Oryctolagus cuniculus: one gene and its partners. The protein of the gene in region 2 interacts with the protein of the main gene of each other region in a pairwise test. Links are inferred from orthologs where the notes say so. Each region holds a gene or a part of one and is shown on either strand. Other genes may lie near its edges.

The links.
Region 1: the proteins of DHPS (region 2) and NUDT18 interact in binary tests that used the Homo sapiens proteins (3 or more experiments, as listed by UniProt). The two-hybrid records come from large-scale screens. The link is inferred for Oryctolagus cuniculus from reciprocal best matches to the Homo sapiens genes DHPS and NUDT18.
Region 3: the proteins of DHPS (region 2) and REL interact in binary tests that used the Homo sapiens proteins (3 or more experiments, as listed by UniProt). The two-hybrid records come from large-scale screens. The link is inferred for Oryctolagus cuniculus from reciprocal best matches to the Homo sapiens genes DHPS and REL.
Region 4: the proteins of DHPS (region 2) and EIF5A2 interact in binary tests that used the Homo sapiens proteins (3 or more experiments, as listed by UniProt). The two-hybrid records come from large-scale screens. The link is inferred for Oryctolagus cuniculus from reciprocal best matches to the Homo sapiens genes DHPS and EIF5A2.

Annotation. Positions count from the first base shown.
Region 1 is NC_091439.1:1,194,102-1,198,322, forward strand, and holds NUDT18 (8-oxo-dGDP phosphatase NUDT18), read left to right. Parts: upstream 1-1,281; 5' UTR 1,282-1,387; coding exon 1,388-1,543; intron 1,544-2,185; coding exon 2,186-2,399; intron 2,400-2,686; coding exon 2,687-3,282; 3' UTR 3,283-3,625; downstream 3,626-4,221. UniProt on the Homo sapiens protein: Mediates the hydrolysis of oxidized nucleoside diphosphate derivatives. Hydrolyzes 8-oxo-7,8-dihydroguanine (8-oxo-Gua)-containing deoxyribo- and ribonucleoside diphosphates to the monophosphates. Hydrolyzes 8-oxo-dGDP and 8-oxo-GDP with the same efficiencies.
Region 2 is NC_091447.1:62,235,668-62,239,992, reverse strand, and holds the start of DHPS (deoxyhypusine synthase), read left to right. Parts: upstream 1-1,297; 5' UTR 1,298-1,517; coding exon 1,518-1,724; intron 1,725-2,205; coding exon 2,206-2,370; intron 2,371-2,766; coding exon 2,767-2,888; intron 2,889-2,975; coding exon 2,976-3,072; intron 3,073-3,169; coding exon 3,170-3,256; intron 3,257-3,672; coding exon 3,673-3,778; intron 3,779-3,867; coding exon 3,868-3,971; intron 3,972-4,286; coding exon 4,287-4,325. UniProt on the Homo sapiens protein: Catalyzes the NAD-dependent oxidative cleavage of spermidine and the subsequent transfer of the butylamine moiety of spermidine to the epsilon-amino group of a critical lysine residue of the eIF-5A precursor protein to form the intermediate deoxyhypusine residue.
Region 3 is NC_091433.1:141,821,322-141,825,596, reverse strand, and holds the start of REL (proto-oncogene c-Rel), read left to right. Parts: upstream 1-1,335; 5' UTR 1,336-1,624; coding exon 1,625-1,646; intron 1,647-4,275. UniProt on the Homo sapiens protein: Proto-oncogene that may play a role in differentiation and lymphopoiesis.
Region 4 is NC_091435.1:109,407,341-109,411,910, forward strand, and holds the start of EIF5A2 (eukaryotic translation initiation factor 5A-2), read left to right. Parts: upstream 1-1,630; 5' UTR 1,631-1,808; intron 1,809-2,481; 5' UTR 2,482-2,516; coding exon 2,517-2,681; intron 2,682-3,242; coding exon 3,243-3,347; intron 3,348-4,570. UniProt on the Homo sapiens protein: Translation factor that promotes translation elongation and termination, particularly upon ribosome stalling at specific amino acid sequence contexts.

The DNA of each region.
Region 1 (4,221 bases), on a different chromosome or scaffold from region 2:
TCTCACTCTCTCGTTCAGTCATCCCTGGAGGCAGAAGGGAGTCTGGCAGCAGTACTGCCCCCACTTCACAGGTGGGAAAACTGAGGATCACACACGCACGGAGCCAATCTGTTGTCCTGGGGTACTGCACCCAGCCCCAGGGAGCTGGTTGAGAGGTGTTGGACAGGGCAAGTGCCTCAAAAGCTTAGGGGGTGCCCGTGTGGCCCTGCACAGGGCTCTGTCTGCAGCAAGCGTGCAGCCAGTCCCCCACCGCGAGAAGGGTCTACGGCTCCCCAGTGGAACCTGTTCTCAGGCACAAGCCAGGAGGGTGGGCCTTTGCGGCGTAGCCCAGCCTGCAGGCTCCGGGGCTGCCCGGGGCCCACACGGCTCCTCTCGAATAGCCTGCCTTGCCATCCACCCTGGCCAAGAAAAGCTGCCAGGAACCTAATCGGAAGCCCACCACATCCCCAAGGAGCGCAGAGCCGGCCGGTCAGCAGGGCGGGTGGGTGGCTTTGCTCTCATCAGCCAGCTACTGTCCCCAACCCCCGAAGGCGGAGGGAGGAGGGGCCGGTGGGGGAGGCCTGTGTGGGTGAGGAGCCCAGACTTGGCTGGCTCTTCGGATTCCTCCCAGCTGGCGGCGAGGAGGAAAGGTCAGGCTGAGCCGAGCGAGCGGGAGCTGGCCACGCTGCAGCGCCCTGCGCAGGACACGCCGTGGACAGGAGGACGCTAAGGGCAGCCCCCAGTGCCCAGCCCTGTCCCCTCCCCGCGTCCGGCCCGCCCCGATCGTGATCACTTAGCATTTAGGCTGTCACCCTCAACCGACTTTTTATTATGGATCAGAACCTCGCGTTCCCGAACCCCAGCCCTCGGCGGGACATCCAGTACGTGTCAGCGAAGTCAGAAGAAAGTTACTTAGGTCGTCATCATCTCAGACAATGCCCTGGCGGGTTAAGACAAAAGGCGGGGGCCGCGGGTCCCGGGGCGGACACCCTGGCCGCCGTGACGTCATCGGGCCTGTGACGTCACCGCCGCGGCGCCCCGCACCCTGCGGGCCAGATGGCGTCACCATCGGAACCTGCGTAAACAAGTATGCGCTCGGGGAGCCGCGGCGAGAGAGAGACAGAAAGAGACAGAGAGAGAGAGACAGCGCGCTGACCCTGGGGCAGGAGCCGGGCCGGAGGTCCGCTCGGCCCCACAGGGCGTTAGGCCCCCTGACGGGCTGGCCCCGCCCCGGGCGGCCGGCGCGGGCCAATCCGGGCGGGCCGCGGCGCCACGCAGCCTATCAGCGGCCAGGGCTCGCCGGGCGCTTCCGCGTTGGGCAGCTCGCCGGCGCGGGCCGGGCCGCACGCTCGGCCGCAGCCCCGCCTGGCCGCTGCGCGGGGCCCGGGCCACCGCCCGCCGGGGCCCGATGGCCTCGGAGGACCTGGCGGGGGCGCTGGCGGCCGTGCTGGAGGGCCGGGGGCTGCGCGTGCACAGCTGTGACTCGGGGCCGGCCGGGCAGCCGCGAGCGCGGCTGCGGACCAACGTCTCCTACGTGGTGCTGGCCGTGTTCCTCAACGAGCAGGTGAGCGAGCCCGCCGGGCCCTGCTGGGCACGAAGACACAACGGCCAGGGCCGGCGCCGCCTCGCGCGTGGCGTTCCCCAGTTCTGCAAAGCACTCACTCACGCGCGCCTCGCAGCCCTGTGGGTGGCCGGGTGCACAGAGGGCTGCGCCCTGGCCCTCGGTTCCTGCAGCACAGAGCTCCCCTCCCCCAGGGCCTAGCACGGTGTGAGCTGGCTCCCCGGGACGTCTGAGGCGTGGCCTGCGCCCCCCCACCCCCACCCCCGCCTGGTTATGGCACAAGGCAGGCTCACGCTCAGATCTGACCCCTTGTCGCTGCTCTGGGTCCCTGTTGTAGGCTGTGAGATAAGAATCAGAAGGGGCCAGAGCCCCAGGTGGGCCTGCATGGGGGTGTTGGGGGGGGATCAGAACCCAGACCCCAGAGTGAGGACCTGCCACTAGGCTGTGCACCCCATGGGGACGCGGGAGACACACAGTGACACAGTGGAGACACACGCGCAGCCCGATCTTGACCCACAGAGAGCAGCTGGCTGCAGGCCCCCCGCCCCCAGGGAGGGGGTCTTGGGCAACCCCAGGGCAGGGAAGGGCCTGGCTGGCTGGCCTCTCCCGTGCGTGGTGGAGAGTGCCAATCCCCTCTCCCCTCAGGACGAGGTGCTCCTGATCCAGGAGGCCAAGAGAGAGTGCCGGGGGTCGTGGTACCTGCCGGCGGGGAGGATGGAGCCCGGGGAGACCATCGTGGAGGCCCTGCAGCGGGAGGTGAAGGAGGAGGCGGGGCTGCAGTGTGAGCCCGAGACCCTGCTTGCCGTGGAGGAGCGAGGCCCCTCCTGGATCCGTTTTGTGTTCCTGGCTCGTCCCACAGGTATGGCTCTCCTGGGGCAGTGCCGTAGCCGCCTTCCTCCGACTCCTCCACCCCCACCCTGTGGTCTTCCGGTGAGATGAGCCCACTCCCTAGCCAGCCCTGTGCTGACTGCTACAGCTCTGGCACTGGCAGACCCTAGCCTGGGGAGGTGGGAGTGGGGGAGGCTCAGCCCCGGCCCCGGCCCCGCTCGGGGTTAGAACCAGGGTGGCCTGCCGGGTCTGTGTCCTCTGTGAGATCCGGTGCTTCTTCCCACCCACACCACTGCTCCTGCCCCCACTCTCCCCTAGGTGGGACGCTGAAAACCTCACAGGAGGCTGATGCGGAGTCCCTGCAGGCTGGCTGGTACCCACGCAGCTCCCTGGCCACTCCTCTTCGAGCCCAGGACATCCTGCACCTGATAGAGCTGGCCGCCCGGTACCGCCAGCAGGCCAGGCACCCTCCCGTTCTGCCCCAGGAGCTGCCCTGCAGTGTGGTGTGCCAGCGGCTCGTGGCCACCTTCACCGGTGCCCAGACGGTATGGGTGCTGGTGGGCACGGTGGGGGCGCCTCACTTGCCCGTCACGGCCTGTGACTTCGCCCCTATGGAGCAGAGGGGCGGCCTGAAGGTGGCCGTGCTGCGGCTGCTCCAGGAGTGCCTGACCCTGCACAGTTTGGCCGTGGAGACCAAGGGGCTGCTGGGGTTGCAGCACCTGGGCAAGGACCATGCCGACGGCATCTGCCTGAACGTGCTGCTGGCGGTGGCTTTTCGCAACCCGGGCATCCAGGAGGAGCCCCCGAAGATTCGGGGTGAGAACTACGCGTGGTGGAAGGTGGGGGATGCAGGCCTGCAGGGCCAGCTCCTCCAGAGGTTGCTGGACTGTTCTGCTGTCCCACTGAACAGATAGGTGCCCTCCCCGAGGGACGCGGAAGCCAGCAATCTGGGCTCGTGCTGCATCGGCAGCAGAGGCTGCTCTGGGTCTCGGGGCCTGCGGGGAGCAGGCTACCACAGTGCATCAGAAGGGACAGTGCCTTCACCAAGCAAAGGGTCCAGAGGTCCAGGGCCCTGCCGCCAAGGGCACACGATGCGTCTCCCCCCCGGGTTGGGGAGGGGGACGCGGGAGCATCCTGGAGTCTCGTTGTTCTGTGTGCACCCCCATGAAGGCCCCGCCCTGGCCTCTGCGGGCACTTGGGGCTCCCAGGGGACCAGGAGGGCATCCCTTGCTGAGTAAACAGGTGTTGCCACCTGCCTTTCCTGCCCAAATGTCTGTGTGGGGAGGACACGAGGGGGCTGCTGCTGTGTGGCCCCCGGCTCAGCAGTGGCCGCCGCCCAGGCCTTTCCCTGACAGTGTGCTGGCACTGGCACCGGGCAGGACGTCACCGAGGGGACCACAGCCCCAAGGGAGGCTCAGCTATAACCCTGCGGGGTGGAGCAGCGGGCATCTGCAGAGAGCTGCCGGTGGGACGGGAGCTGTGAGTGGTGTCCCCGTCTCTGCCCAGCTCCATTCTCCTGGCCCGCCCTGGGCCGGATCCTCCACCGCCTGGCCTTTTCACAAGTCCAGTCCAAGCTGGAAACCCTTTTCTCCACTGCCCCCAGCCCAGGCCACCCATGGTGGGATTTCTTTCAGCTTTGCGAAAAACACAAGGGGAAAAACCACAGGGGACAAAATGTGCCACTGGCTGTGTTCAGGCCTGTGTCCAGCCACGCTGGGGAGGCCGGGCTGGATGGAGACCCCCCCAAGCCCCCAAACACAAAGTCTGTTAGATCATCACCGCTCCGACAGACATCACCACGCACGTCAACACGCGCCGTGCTCGCGGACACCGGGGCCCCCACCCCTCGGCGT
Region 2 (4,325 bases):
ATGCTCCTGGGAAGGCAATGGAAGACGGCCCAAGTGCTTGGGCCCCTGCCACCCACGGGGGAGACCTGGAAGAAGCTCCTGGCTCGCGCTCGGCCCAGCCTGGCCCTGGCTGCTAATGGCCACTGGGGGAGTGAACCTGCTGATGGAGGTTTTCTCTATCAGCTTTCAAAAGTAAATAGATAAACAAGCCCAGCCTCACAGGCTGCTGCCTGGCATCGCCAAATACCCCAGGCTGGGGGGGGGGGGGGGCTCATGCAACAGCGCTGTCTCTTGGAAGCCTGGGGAGTAGAAATTGAAGACCTAGGAGCTGGCGGGGCTGGAGGCCTCTCTTCTGGACCTCTCTCTTCTGGCTGTACCCCACCCCCTCCGTGTCTCTGTGTATGCAAATTTCCTCACAGGGACTCCGCATGGACCCTCCCTAATGGCCTCCTTCTAAGTCTATTATTGATTTTTTAAAGATGTATTTGTTTGTTTGTTTGAAAGAGTTACATAGAGAGGAGAGAGAGATAGCTTCCATCCATTAGTTCACTCCCCAGATGGCTGCAAGAGCCAGGGCTGGATCAGGCCAAAGCCAGGAGCCAGGAGCTCCATCCGGGTCTCCCACATAGGTGCAGGGGCCTGAGCACTTGAGCCATCCTCCACTGCTTTCCCAGGCCAGAAGCAGGGAGCTGGATTGGAAGAGGAGCAGCCAGGACTGGAACCTGTGTCCCTATGGGATGCTGGCGCTGCGGGCAGAGGCTTAGCCCACTATGCCCACAGAGCCGACCCCTGTTGTCCTGTTTTCTGCCTCACTGGGTCTCGTTAATCAGTAAATCCCCAGCGTACACAGCCAAGCCCTCATAAACCGCAGAGTGGGTGGACAAAGGGGTCCCCTCCGTGCCCTGCACAAGGTGGGTTAGGAGGGTGTATGAGGTGCTGGCCTCCCAGTCGCTCTGCGGGGTGTGTAGGGGGCGCTGCTGTCCGCCCTGAATCCCAGAGGAGGCTCCTGAGCCAGAGGAAGTCAGAGAAGGCTTCCCGGAGGTGACGGCTGCATCCACAGCGGGAAAGAAACGGGGCACCTGCAGCGCGTGGAGGCTCTGGACACTTGGGAGGGAACGAATGGGGAGCATTATCCCCACTGACGGGAGAAACTCGAGGCTGAAACTGTCTTGTCGACCCCAATCCTGTCTGACAGCTCAGAAGCTCAGAGCACAGAAACATAGGTAAGCGCCGCGCCACGCCACGAGTGTCCAGCAGGTGGCGCCAAAGCAGGAATGTCCAGGCACGCCTAAAGGCCTTACGGCTCCTCACGGCTTCCGTAGTACGGAACACGCGTGCCAAGATGGCGGCGCCCTAGGCCGCAGGAGCCAGAGTATCATGTGACTCAGCAACTTCCGTTGATCCCCTCTCGGATCTTCCCCGAGCCCTACTTCCTGCGCACTTGCGGAGACGCGCGTGCTGGGGCCTAGCGCGCTTCGAGGCCGCCGTGGGCCCGGCCCGGGTGGGGGCTCAGCCGTGAGAACCCTGCCGCGGGGGGCATGGAGGGCTCCCCGGAGGGGGAAGCGCCCGCCGCGGCGCTGGCCGCTGTGCTGAAGCACAGCTCGGCGCTGCCGCCCGAGAGCGCTCAGGTCCGGGGCTACGACTTCAACCGCGGCGTAGATTACCGCGCGCTGCTGGAGGCCTTCGGCACCACCGGCTTCCAGGCAACCAACTTCGGGCGCGCGGTGCAGCAAGTCAACGCCATGGTGAGGCCCGGGGCGGGACTTCCTGGCCGGAAGGGGCGTGGCCTCTAGGAGAGCCAATAGGGTTCCTCCAGGGCGTGGCTGCCAGGAGGACGGAGGGGGTGTGTCGCCCGAAGGGGCGGGGCCCACCCTGGGCGGGAACCGACTGCGAAGCGGCCTTTGCCCGTAGCGTCTGTAGGGGGCGGGGCCTGATTTTTGGTAGGAGATGGATTCTAGGCGAATTTTTGAGAGACAGAAACGGGGAACTCCGTCGGGGCCTCCCACGCGGGTGCAGGGTCCCCGGCACTCGGGCCGTCACCTGCTGCTTTCCTAGGCGCATTTGCAGGGAGCTGGATCGGAAGCGGAGAGCCTGTAGGGCGGGATTTTTAGTCCCCAGTAGAAGTGGCCCCTTCTAGAAAGTGCATTCTCATTTCCGGAACTCACCTTGGGGGGTCCCTGGCGTTTGCCGCCGGAAACTTAACCTGACCCCGGCCCCTGCCCCAAGATTGAGAAGAAACTGGAGCCGCTGTCGCAGGATGAAGATCAGCACAAGGACCTGACCAAGAGCCGCCGCCCGCTGACCGGCTGCACCATTTTCCTGGGCTACACGTCCAACCTCATCAGCTCAGGCATCCGGGAGACCATCCGCTACCTCGTGCAGCACAGCATGGTGGGACTGCGGCCTTGGGCAGTCATTCTTAAAGATTTACGTAGTTATTTGCAAGGCAGAGTGACAGATCTTCCATCTGTTGGCTCACTCCCCAAATGGCTGCAGCAGCTTGGGCTGGGCCATGCTGGAGCCAGGAGCTCCATCCGGGTCTCCCATGTGGGTGGCAGGGAGCCAAGTATTTGAGCCAGCACCTGCTGCCCCCTGCCCAGGATGCCCTAAAACAAGAAGTAGAGCAGCCAGGGCTGCACTCTGAGGGGGGGGGATACAGGCATCCGGAAGTGGTGCCTGTCCCCCAAAGTGGCCAAGCTCTTTCCTGGGGATCAGGGTTGAGGCTGAGTTGGGGACCGTTCCCTGGGAGTGGGGCGGGGGCCCAACTGCACTGCCTTCGAGCTGCAGGTGGACGTCCTGGTGACCACGGCTGGAGGTGTGGAGGAAGACCTCATCAAGTGCCTGGCGCCCACGTACCTGGGCGAGTTCAGCCTCAGAGGGAAGGAGCTCCGGGAGAATGGGATCAACAGGTTAGGGGAGGGGGCATCCCTGTGCACCGCTGGGGGGGGTGCTGAGGCTGGGGTGGGGGCTGATGGCCGCGTGCCTTCTGTCCCCAGGATCGGGAACCTGCTGGTGCCCAATGACAATTACTGCAAGTTTGAGGACTGGCTGATGCCCATCCTGGACCAGATGGTGCTGGAGCAGAACACAGAGGTGGGGGCTGAAGAGTCTTGGGGGGTGGGGAATGGGGTCCAGTGTGGTGCTGGGGGTTAGAGGAGCGTGGGCTGACTGCTGACATCCCCCCTCCCAGGGTGTGAAGTGGACGCCTTCCAAGATGATTGCCCGGCTCGGCAAGGAGATCAACAGCCCGGAGTCTGTGTATTACTGGGCACAGAAGGTGAGGGCCGCTAACACACAGCGTGGCCTCGCCGCTCTGAATTCCAGCAGTCTGACAAGTAACAAGAGATACCGGTGTGAGCTTCCATCCACTGGTGCACTCCCACAAATGGCTGCAACAGCCAGAGCTGGGCCAAAGGCAGAAGCCAGGCGCCTGGAGCTCTACTCGGGTCTCCCAGTGTGGGTGGCGGGGGCCCAGGCACCTGAGCCATCCCTGCTGCCGCTCAGCGCACATGCGCAGGAGCCAGGACTTGAGCTCAGGATGCAGGGGCCTCCTGCCCCGCCCCAGAGTGCCAGGCCGGGGCCAAGTGCTGGGTGTGCGTTTGTCACGTAGGCGCCCTCCTGCGGCAAGCAGAGGGGCCCAGGCAGGCTGCTCCCCAGCCTCAGCCTGGCCCTTCACTGTCTGCCCGCCTGCAGAACCACATCCCCGTGCTGAGCCCGGCGCTGACCGACGGCTCCCTGGGAGACATGATCTTCTTCCATTCCTACAAGAACCCGGGCCTGGTCCTGGACATCGTGGAGGGTGAGGCGCGCTGGGGCCCTGGGAGTGGCAGAGGGAAGGTGGGTGCTGGAGGGCTGAGGCCGGGGCCTGAGCGCGCTCTCTGCCCGCAGACTTGCGGCTCATCAACACGCAGGCCATTTTCGCCAAGCGCACGGGGATGATCATCTTGGGCGGCGGCATGGTCAAGCACCACATCGCCAACGCCAACCTGATGGTGAGCGCGGGAGGGCGTGGGAGCCCACTGGGCGCAGCGCCCCCAGGGCGACGGGTGCGGAGAGGAACAGGCCAGGACCCCCGCTCTCCCGGGGCTGCGGGCCAGCGAGCGATGCACGTGTCCGGGCGAGGGAGGCCCCTGGGAAGCGGGCCAAGTGCCCTGCGTGGGTCTCTAGCTGTGGCTCTAAGCTGGATAGGACCCGACTCGGGCGCTCACTGCTGCCCTCTTGCGGTGGCGCGGGAGCCAGGACCCGACGAGGGGTGGCGGGGATCCCGGAAGCTGGGGCTGACGGGGCTGTCCCGGCCCTGTCCACAGCGGAACGGGGCCGACTACGCCGTCTACATCAACACGGCC
Region 3 (4,275 bases), on a different chromosome or scaffold from region 2:
AAGAGGATGGGTCGCCATCTACCTATCTTTGGGAGTTTAAGCCTTGGCTTCCTAGGATTTCTCCTTTGAGGAAAGACAACTAACAGGTAGGTAATGGATTCTACAGGTCTGGTTAGATGAAAAGGGAGAAGTTTTCCGGCTCTGCCATCTTCAGTGCACTGCCGGTGACAGGCATATCAGGGTATGCTTTAATGCTTATCCAAGAAAACAACCGTTTCATTCTTTCTGTACTTTGCACATTTTGTGGAGAGGATGTTTTGGGGTTGGAGGATTTTAACTATACCCACAGCGGGGTCCTCGAGTTTCTGGCACTTTCCCTGCATCTTTTCAGCAGGGAAAAGGGGGTGGAGCTTCGGAGTAGCACAACTTCGGGTTTAAGCCTGCTTTCCTTTTGCAGGATTCTTAAGCACAGAGAAGTTCCTGTGCTTCCCCTTCCCTGAACCCCTTTACCCCATGAAACTAAGGGTAATAATAATACACTACACATGTGGTGAACAAGCCATCTGACACACAGCAGGTGCTTGGCAAATGATGGGAACAAAATCACACCGGGTTCTCGAAGGCACGAACTGTTCGTTCCACTCCCCCCCGTGGCTGTCAACGCCCAAGCCAGAGTGGCCACCTCCCTCAACCCGAGCCCAGTCCGTCACCGGGAGGCCACGAACTCGCCGCGCGGACCTCTCGGTGTTAAAGGTTCTGGCAGGCACAAAGACATGAAATTAACCGAGCCCTAGAAATTTAGATAGAAAGAGGTAAAAAATCAGATTGCGGGGGTCCCCGTATGCAAATACACGAATCCGAAGCGCACGCAGGCGACGGCCGCTTCCGCACCTCCGGAGCGGCCACGACGCGCGCCGGCGCGGGGGCGGAGATTTGCATGTGCGAAATCGGGAAGAGGGGGAACCACCCATCGAAAACCCCGGGAGGCCGGGCCCACTCCGCCGCGCGGCCCGCCCCCACGCGCTCCCGGGCGGCCGGCCCTCTTCACGTCAGCGCGCCCTCCCACCCGCTCCTGAACTTTAAGACTCGCTCGGAAGAACAACCTGGAGGAGGGGGCTTTCTCAGGAGCTGCCCGCCTTCTCACGCTCCGGGCTCCGGGCGATCCCTGGCGCTCCCGAGTATCCCGGGTTCCCGTGCCGGCCGCCCAGCTGCCAGGCCCTCAGCGCAGCGGCGGGGGCGGGAACGCGCGCGGGGCGGGGCGGAGACCGCCGAGGGCGGCCACGCGCGCGGCCGCGAGAACGCCCCGCCCCACGCCCCCAGGGGAAGGCGGCGGCGTGGGGGCCTACGTCAGCCGCGGGAAATCCCCCTCCCGCCTGGCTGCCCGCCTCCTGGCCCGGCCGGCGCTGGGCTCTCGTCCCGCTCCGCCCCCTTGGCCCTGGCTCCGGCACCCGGGAAGGGCGACGCTGGTGACCCGCAGCGCGAGAACTCAGGGGGTGGGAAGGTGTGAGCCGCAAACCCAGAGGAGGGCGGGAAGGAGGAGGAGGCCTCGGGGGGTGGTCCGGGGGACTGGGGTCCAGCCGGCAGAGGTCCCGCGGCCTCCTGACTGACTGACTGACTGGCGGGCCGACTGTCTGCGGCCGCCTCGGGCCGGGACGCTGGGAGCTGCCTGTGTGCGGGCGGCGCGATGAGCGGAGCCATGGCCTCAGGTGAGTGTTCCCGGCGCTGGGTGCCGAGGGCCGGAGCGAAGGGGGCTCTTTTGGGGGATGGGGGTAGGGGTCGTGCTGCCCTGAGGGTCGGGGGGATCGGGGCAGATTCCGTCTTAAAAGATCGCCTCGTCTGGCAAATTGTCAGGCTTTGAAAAAGTTACCTGCCTCAGGGTTTGCGTGCGCAATCAAAGCCAGACTCTGTAATTGGATTCCAGTTTCATAACCGGAAACCTGAGAAATTCCCCACGCCGGGATGCCAGGGTGAGGAAAGCCTCCGTCCGGATCGGAGGGGGCCCAAGAGTGCGCGTCCTTGAGCCTTGCTTGGTATCGAAATGGTGGGCTTGGGGTCTAGGACGAGAATGAGGAAGCGTGGGACCTCGGGCGAGCTCCTGCCTGCCGTGCGCCCTCGTCCCGTCGGGCGCCGAGCGGCGGTCGCTCTCGCGCTGACCGTCGGCCGAGCGCGGCGCGGCTGTACAGGTGGCCGCTGGCGGGTTCGCCGGGCGCCAGCGGAAAGTTTGGTCCTCCAAGTCGGGCATTTTCCCCGGGAAATCGGGCGCACGTACTTTGCGAGGTTACCGAGCCGAGACATTGAGTTCCCCGCCACCGCCTTGTTGGAAATGAGAGAGGGAACGAGGATTTTTTTTTTTTTTAATATCTGTGCTTTAACATAATGGGTGTTCGTGAAAACAACCAGCTTGTTTAATGTGCTTGTTGGCCGTCCGTAAATGCCTGGGTCTCTCGCTTTGGGGCGGTGAGACGCGTTTATTACGAGAAGCGGCTTTGCAGGGCTGCTGGGGGCAGGCTCGTCTGCAGCCGCGGAGCAGGGCTGCCGGGAACCCAGGGCGGCTGAGTCCGGTGGCCGCGGCTGCCCAGGGGCCGTTTGCAGGTACCGGGAGCAGCGTGAGCAGAGGCCCGGAGGCCGAAAGGGAGGGCTTGTTGGCGCTCGGCCCGCGGTCCCCCAGCCGGCCCAGGTGAGTGACCCTCGGTAGCCGGCCGGCCTCGAGTCGAGAAGAGGAAGTAGCAAGCGTAAGGAGCCTCTTTAAAGGGCCTAGCCCTGCAGTGCCATTGCGATGGCTGTAGGCTGAAAAGGAAATTGGGGTGTTTCACATGACATTTGATTTCAGTTTGTGGTTTTCATGTGAGAATTCAAGTGGAGTTTAAAATATTTCAACTTTCCCTTTACCCACTTAGGTGACCCCACACTTTCAGGTAATCTTATAAATTCATACATTCAAAGCACACTTAGTTTAAAAGTATACAGATAACTACAGCTGTTTGTTTAGTTTATTGGTTATCAGAAAGATTTTATTTGAAAGTAGTAAAGAATTCTGAGCGTTTTAAGTGAAAAAAAAAGGGGGGGCTGGCTATTTGAGCACACTTCATTAAGCTATTGCATGAATGTAATATTTATGAGTTTTTCCAAAAGACAGAAAAAAAAACATTCTTTAGAGTATTGTTAAGATTTGCATGATTTTAAAATGTGATACCTTCTAACTTTTTAATAATTTTGTATTGTGTGCTGTTGTGAGGACTAAGGATTCTTTAAATTGAAGGGAAAAATTAAATGGAAAGCTTTAAAAGTTTGCAAGTTGTAGGTCATACCTTTTGGTGTTTGTTTTTTGGTCTTTCTGGAGGTACATTAAAGTGGAACTCTTTTAAAACATAACAAGTTATTTAAATTAGTTTGAAACCACTAGGCAGAACAAATGTTAAAGGAGTCTGGGTGTATTTTACTTAGATAGAAAGAACTTGGAGAAAAAGATTGACTAAATATTCCTGTCCTGTTTTGAAGCAGTTTAACAAACAGAAAAAAAATTGTGTATCATAGTCTAATTTAGATTGTGTTTGTAGTAAGGTATTAAAACCTCAAAAAATATTTTTATTGATTACCAAGCATGTGAGACCATTTCTTCATTTCTCACCGGATGTCATATGTAAATAGGTATGTGCGATTGAGTAGGTGATGTCTTTAATGTAAAAGGAACACAGATCATAATCTCATAAGCAGAATTAATAAGTGCCAGCAGTAGCTAGAACTTTATACATGGTTCTAAAGTTTGTTCAGGTAAATCATCGGATTCATTGTTTTAGATTTCACAGTTTGGATTCTATTAAACTTTTTCATTCTCTTTTTAAAAATTAGCACACCGTGATTCCAGTCTTTTGACACAATTAAGTTGAATAGGCATAGTGAAGAAAAATGTTCCCAGACCTGTCTAAGGTATACCTAATTAGGTAGCAAGTATTCATATATTTTTAATATAAGTAAAATGAAGTATTTTATGTCTGATTTTGAAGTCTCTCATTGTTCTAGTAAACATGGCTTTGTTTACTGATAATACTATCTCTAGTAAATGTTTTAACATTTATATAATTTATTCACATTTTTCTTTAGCATATGGTTCTGCTATGTCATGCAATAGGTAGTACATGAAGCAATTGTCTATGTAAACCTCACTACTTAACAATTCTTTGTAGTGTTAATGGGAAAAAATAGATGTGAGCATGAAGCAACATGATCTTTAATAATGAAGCTGGAAGTTAGGAATGGGTAGTTAAAGCAAATGACTTCTTTTTTTTTTTTTCAAGTAAAAGCCCACAGATGTTTCAGAAATGCAACACACGAAAA
Region 4 (4,570 bases), on a different chromosome or scaffold from region 2:
GAGCAGTTTATGAAAATGCTGTGACCAGAGGATCACAGGACCCTAACCTTGTATTCTCCTGTGAGCAATGGTTCAGAATTTGCTAATTCATTGTTCCAACAACTTCAGGAGAATGGACTACATTTGTTGAATGAATAAATCCCAATAATTCCCAATAATTTGATTCAAGAGCCAAATCTTATGTGATGGTAGTTAGATCAGTGATTCTGGGGCCAAACTGCCTAGATTTCAGTCTTGGCTCTCTGACTTGCTAGCTGTGTGATTTAGGACAAATTACTTTTCTCTAGCCTGTTTTCATAACTAAAAATGCAAATAAAACAGCCATTAATGGACGCCAGGGACTAGGTGTTGGGGGAGGGGGCTAAATACAAATGGCAGGAGGAAACTTTTGGAATGAGGGAAATAGTCACTGTCTGGATTAAAGAGGTGGCTATCTGCCAATCTTTTTCAAAACTAAGAACTAAAAAGCATCCATTTTATTTTAAATTATACAAACCTGGGGTTTAAAAGAGAAGCAGTTAAGATTTAACAAATTTTGGACTAGCTGCCTAAGTAACCTGCCGTACTACCGATCATTCTAGTAACTTTAGGGAAAGCTTAGGTGGTGTCAGGTAAAACAAATTGGGACTCAAGAACCCAGAGTTCCAATCTGGCTCATTCATATACAGTTAGAGGCTGGGTTCCGTTTATGGGAAATCACTTGCTTATAATAAAAGTTAAATTAGACAACACATGTGAAATACATACATGTAAAATGTAGTCATATAGCAACTGTTCATGGGACTATTCATGGGAATACATAAATTGGAGTGGGAAGTAACTTCCTAGGTCACCTCCAGGGTAGCAGAATGTGAGCAGTTTGTGAAATGGAACTGTGAAAAGCACAGCGCATAGCCTTAGGAAGCTTGTCTTTACTTCTATCCAAGTCTATGGGCGCTCGGTGGATTCTGAAGACAACTCAACCGCTCCAATGTGGTTTGGAGAGATTCCAAACTCAGAAATACCTAAGCCAGAAGGGAAGAAGGGCTGCGTTGTCGCACTTTCTGGACCGCATAATCCGGCGGGAGTGGGCTCTCCTGGCCCCCACATTCTTCCGGCCTCTGGTGTGTGGGGCAGGGCAGCTCTGTTCTCCGCCCACTCCTAGGAGCCCGGCCAGGGGCAGAACCGCATCACGGGGTGGCTGGAGCCTCCAGCAGAATCTGCAGCGGGGAGCCACGGACTTAAATACCGCACTTAGGCTCTGCCTCCAGGAATAAGCTAGGTGTGAACTCCAAGGAGAGCTGCAAGTTGTACCAGAAGCCGGAACCCAAAGTCCTCTCCATAACCTCGCGGAACCCTTGGTGAACAGAGGACAGGGACTACAGGGCGCGCGGCTTGGCTGCCGTCAACGCCGACTGAGAGCCGACCGCCACGAACCTAGAAGTTAGAGAGAACAAGCTTTCCGGTCTGCGAGTTTAACCTCGGCAACTGAACTGTTGGAAGCGCTCCGCACGCCGGAAGTGCACTAATCCGCAGCACGTGGGGTTGCCAGGGCGCGCTTCACGTGACTGGGCGGAGCCTTGGGAACCCAGTAGCCAATAGTAGCCCTGGAAGGCGGTGCCTGTGACGCCTCGGGGCCTATCCCGGAAGTGGGGCTGGGTTGGGGGCGGGAAAAGGCGGGGAGACCGGGGTGTGGAAAGTGTGGCGGCCCCGCCCCGTGTCTTGGAACTGCTGCGGCCGCCACCGCCGCCGCCGCAGCAGCTGCAGCGCTGAGGTACCGGGCGCGGATGCGCAGGCGAAAGTCCGGGTTGCCTGCTCAAAGCTGAAAGGTGAAGACCTGGGGAAAAGCTGACTCGTGCTGGTCCCAGAGCGAGGGAGGGCAGGGAAGGGAGCCGGAACGAGCCATGGCCGAGAGGTGGAGGAAAGATGGATGGGGGAATGGAGGCGAGCGCGAGACCTGCCGGGGCTCAGGCCCTTGAGGAGCCGGGCCGGGCCGGGCTGGGCTTTCCCTGCAGAACAGGGGATGCCTGGGCGACTGGGGCGGCGGCGTGCGGGGCGGCGGGCGGGGTGCGCGCCGGCTGCCCAGGGGCCAGGTGCTGCTGACCACGTCGTGTCAACTTGCATCGTTCCCGGGGCCGTGCGGCCTTGGGCTGGGCGCCGAGCAGCGGGCGTGCAGGCGCGGCGCGGCGCGGTGCGGGAAGGTCGCGGGTTTCTGCGGTGGGGCAGCAGGGCGGGGACCTGCTGCCTGCCCCCAGCGCGGGTGAACGCCCGAGGCGGGAGGTGAGCTCCTCGGGGTTTTCCTTTCCCACCCGCAACCACCTCCCGATGGCTGGAAAAGTTTGTAGAGGCCAGAGTTTAGAAAAGTGCCCACTAGTCTTGGGTGGGTGTCGTGCAAATGCAAAAATGACAGTGAATCTTACCAGATAACCTGTCTGTCGCAAATAAGACGTTTCCCTGCCGGCATGCTGGTTATTAAAAAGCAAACACAAACTTTTTGCGTAGTTCCCTCGGAAGAACAGTCCTCTCCCCAGCCCACCATGGCAGACGAAATCGATTTCACCACTGGAGACGCCGGGGCATCCAGCACTTACCCTATGCAGTGCTCGGCCCTACGCAAAAACGGCTTTGTGGTGCTGAAAGGACGACCATGCAAAATAGTGGAGATGTCAACTTCCAAAACCGGAAAGCACGGCCATGCCAAGGTAAGCGCCCTTCCGAGTCGGGCTGTGGCCTCCGCGTTGGGATTTTCATCACTCGTATTCCATTACAGATCTTGACATTTCTATACTTCACGTTTTGTAATAAGCAATTTTTTTTGTTTCCGTAGTTATTAGGTGGTCAGCTGTTACCTTGAATACTTACAGGTACACGTCCTTCTGGGGGGCTTGTCATGTTTCATTGGGAACTGAGTCTCCCCGAATCCTACTGGCCTAGACTAAGATCTATTCAGTTTACCTTTGTGAAAACCTCTTTTAACAATTCTTAGAAACCTAACTTCATCTTTGTCATATACTTTCACAATCTAGATTACTAGAGTTTCTGTTATACTGGGTCTTGACGTGTCATGATACCATTTAGTTTTTTGATGTGTCTCAATTCTGTTAACACCATGGCTTTTTGTTTTTTGTAAGAAAGTAAAAGTAGATGACCCTGGCAGGAGGAGAAAGAATCTGTCATAATAAGTATTGGTATTGTACTCCTGTGTATGCAATGAGTGATACACTTGGCAGAGAATGAACAGGTCTTCTGTTGCCCTCTGTTAGGTTCACCTTGTTGGAATTGATATTTTCACGGGCAAAAAATATGAAGATATTTGCCCTTCTACTCACAACATGGATGTTCCAAATATTAAGAGAAATGACTATCAAGTAAGTACTAATTTCCCTTGCAGAATGATTCTTGTTTCTTAAAAGTACAGATGCTTTCTGTCAATTGTAAATTGACAAAAGCAAAGAGTGATTTGGAAGGTTTTTTTCCTAACCAATTATTAGGCACCACCTATCTGAGAAATTGGAGAAATAGTGATGTTTACCTGGTGTTCCTTATCTAGGATTATTGCTAATTGTTTTTAAACATTCTTGCATTTTTAAGAGGTTGAACACTTTGAGTGTTTCTCAAACCAAGTGACTGCATATTGCAAGTAAGTATGTATTTCATGAAATTACTGTTCTCTCTGTTGTAAAATATCTCAAATTTAGATAACTCCTTCCTGAGTACTTTTATTTCTTTCCTCTGATCAAAGACTTTCAAGGAACTGTTCTTCCAACTAAGTTTTTCTATTAATGAATGTTAGTCAGATTTGGTATTCTTAAGAAGTGAATTAGTCAAGAGCCATAAATAAAAAGTAAAGAAAATACAAAAATTATGTAATTGGTTTATTTATATTCAGTGACCCAGCTGGGACCTTTTGCTAAATTATATGTATAAACTTCAAGTTTTAGCTTTACTTACACATTTGGGTACATCATATTTAATGCTAGCATTTTGTTTGGAGTATTGATGATAAACAACTGACCTCATAGTCGGTGGAAGCTCAGATTAATCATAACTAAAACATTTCTTGAAAGTCTTCAGTTTCCTTATCAAGCATACCATATATTGAACTCTCTTCTGTTCATTTTACATAAAAGAATGTAAGTTTGACAGATTTGTTCTGTTCAACTTAAACTGATTTTTTCTGTGCCTTTTGTGTAGATTTTTAAAGAACATTGCTGTCAACTGCAGTGAGCCAGTGATTTCCTTTTATTCTTTGTCCACCTGCAACCATATTTTCATGTAGTTTTGCCACTTTCTAGCTCGATACTCTTGGATAAGTTATGTAACCTCTCTGAGCCTTAGTCTGCCAAACAGGGATAATGTGAGGATGAAATGAGGGGGGAAATGTACCAAAAAGCAGTTCTGGGCTGGGAAGAATCACTGTGTTCCTGAATTTGTATTTACGAAATGCATGAAGTTTGTATATCTTAAATAAAATTTTAAAAAACTAAATAAATAAAAAAAAACTTTAAAAAAAAAGGCAGTTCTGTTCTGCTCCCTCTTTTCCTGTATAAAATTGAACTTAATCATCCTATTGTTGGATCGCTCAGAAAGA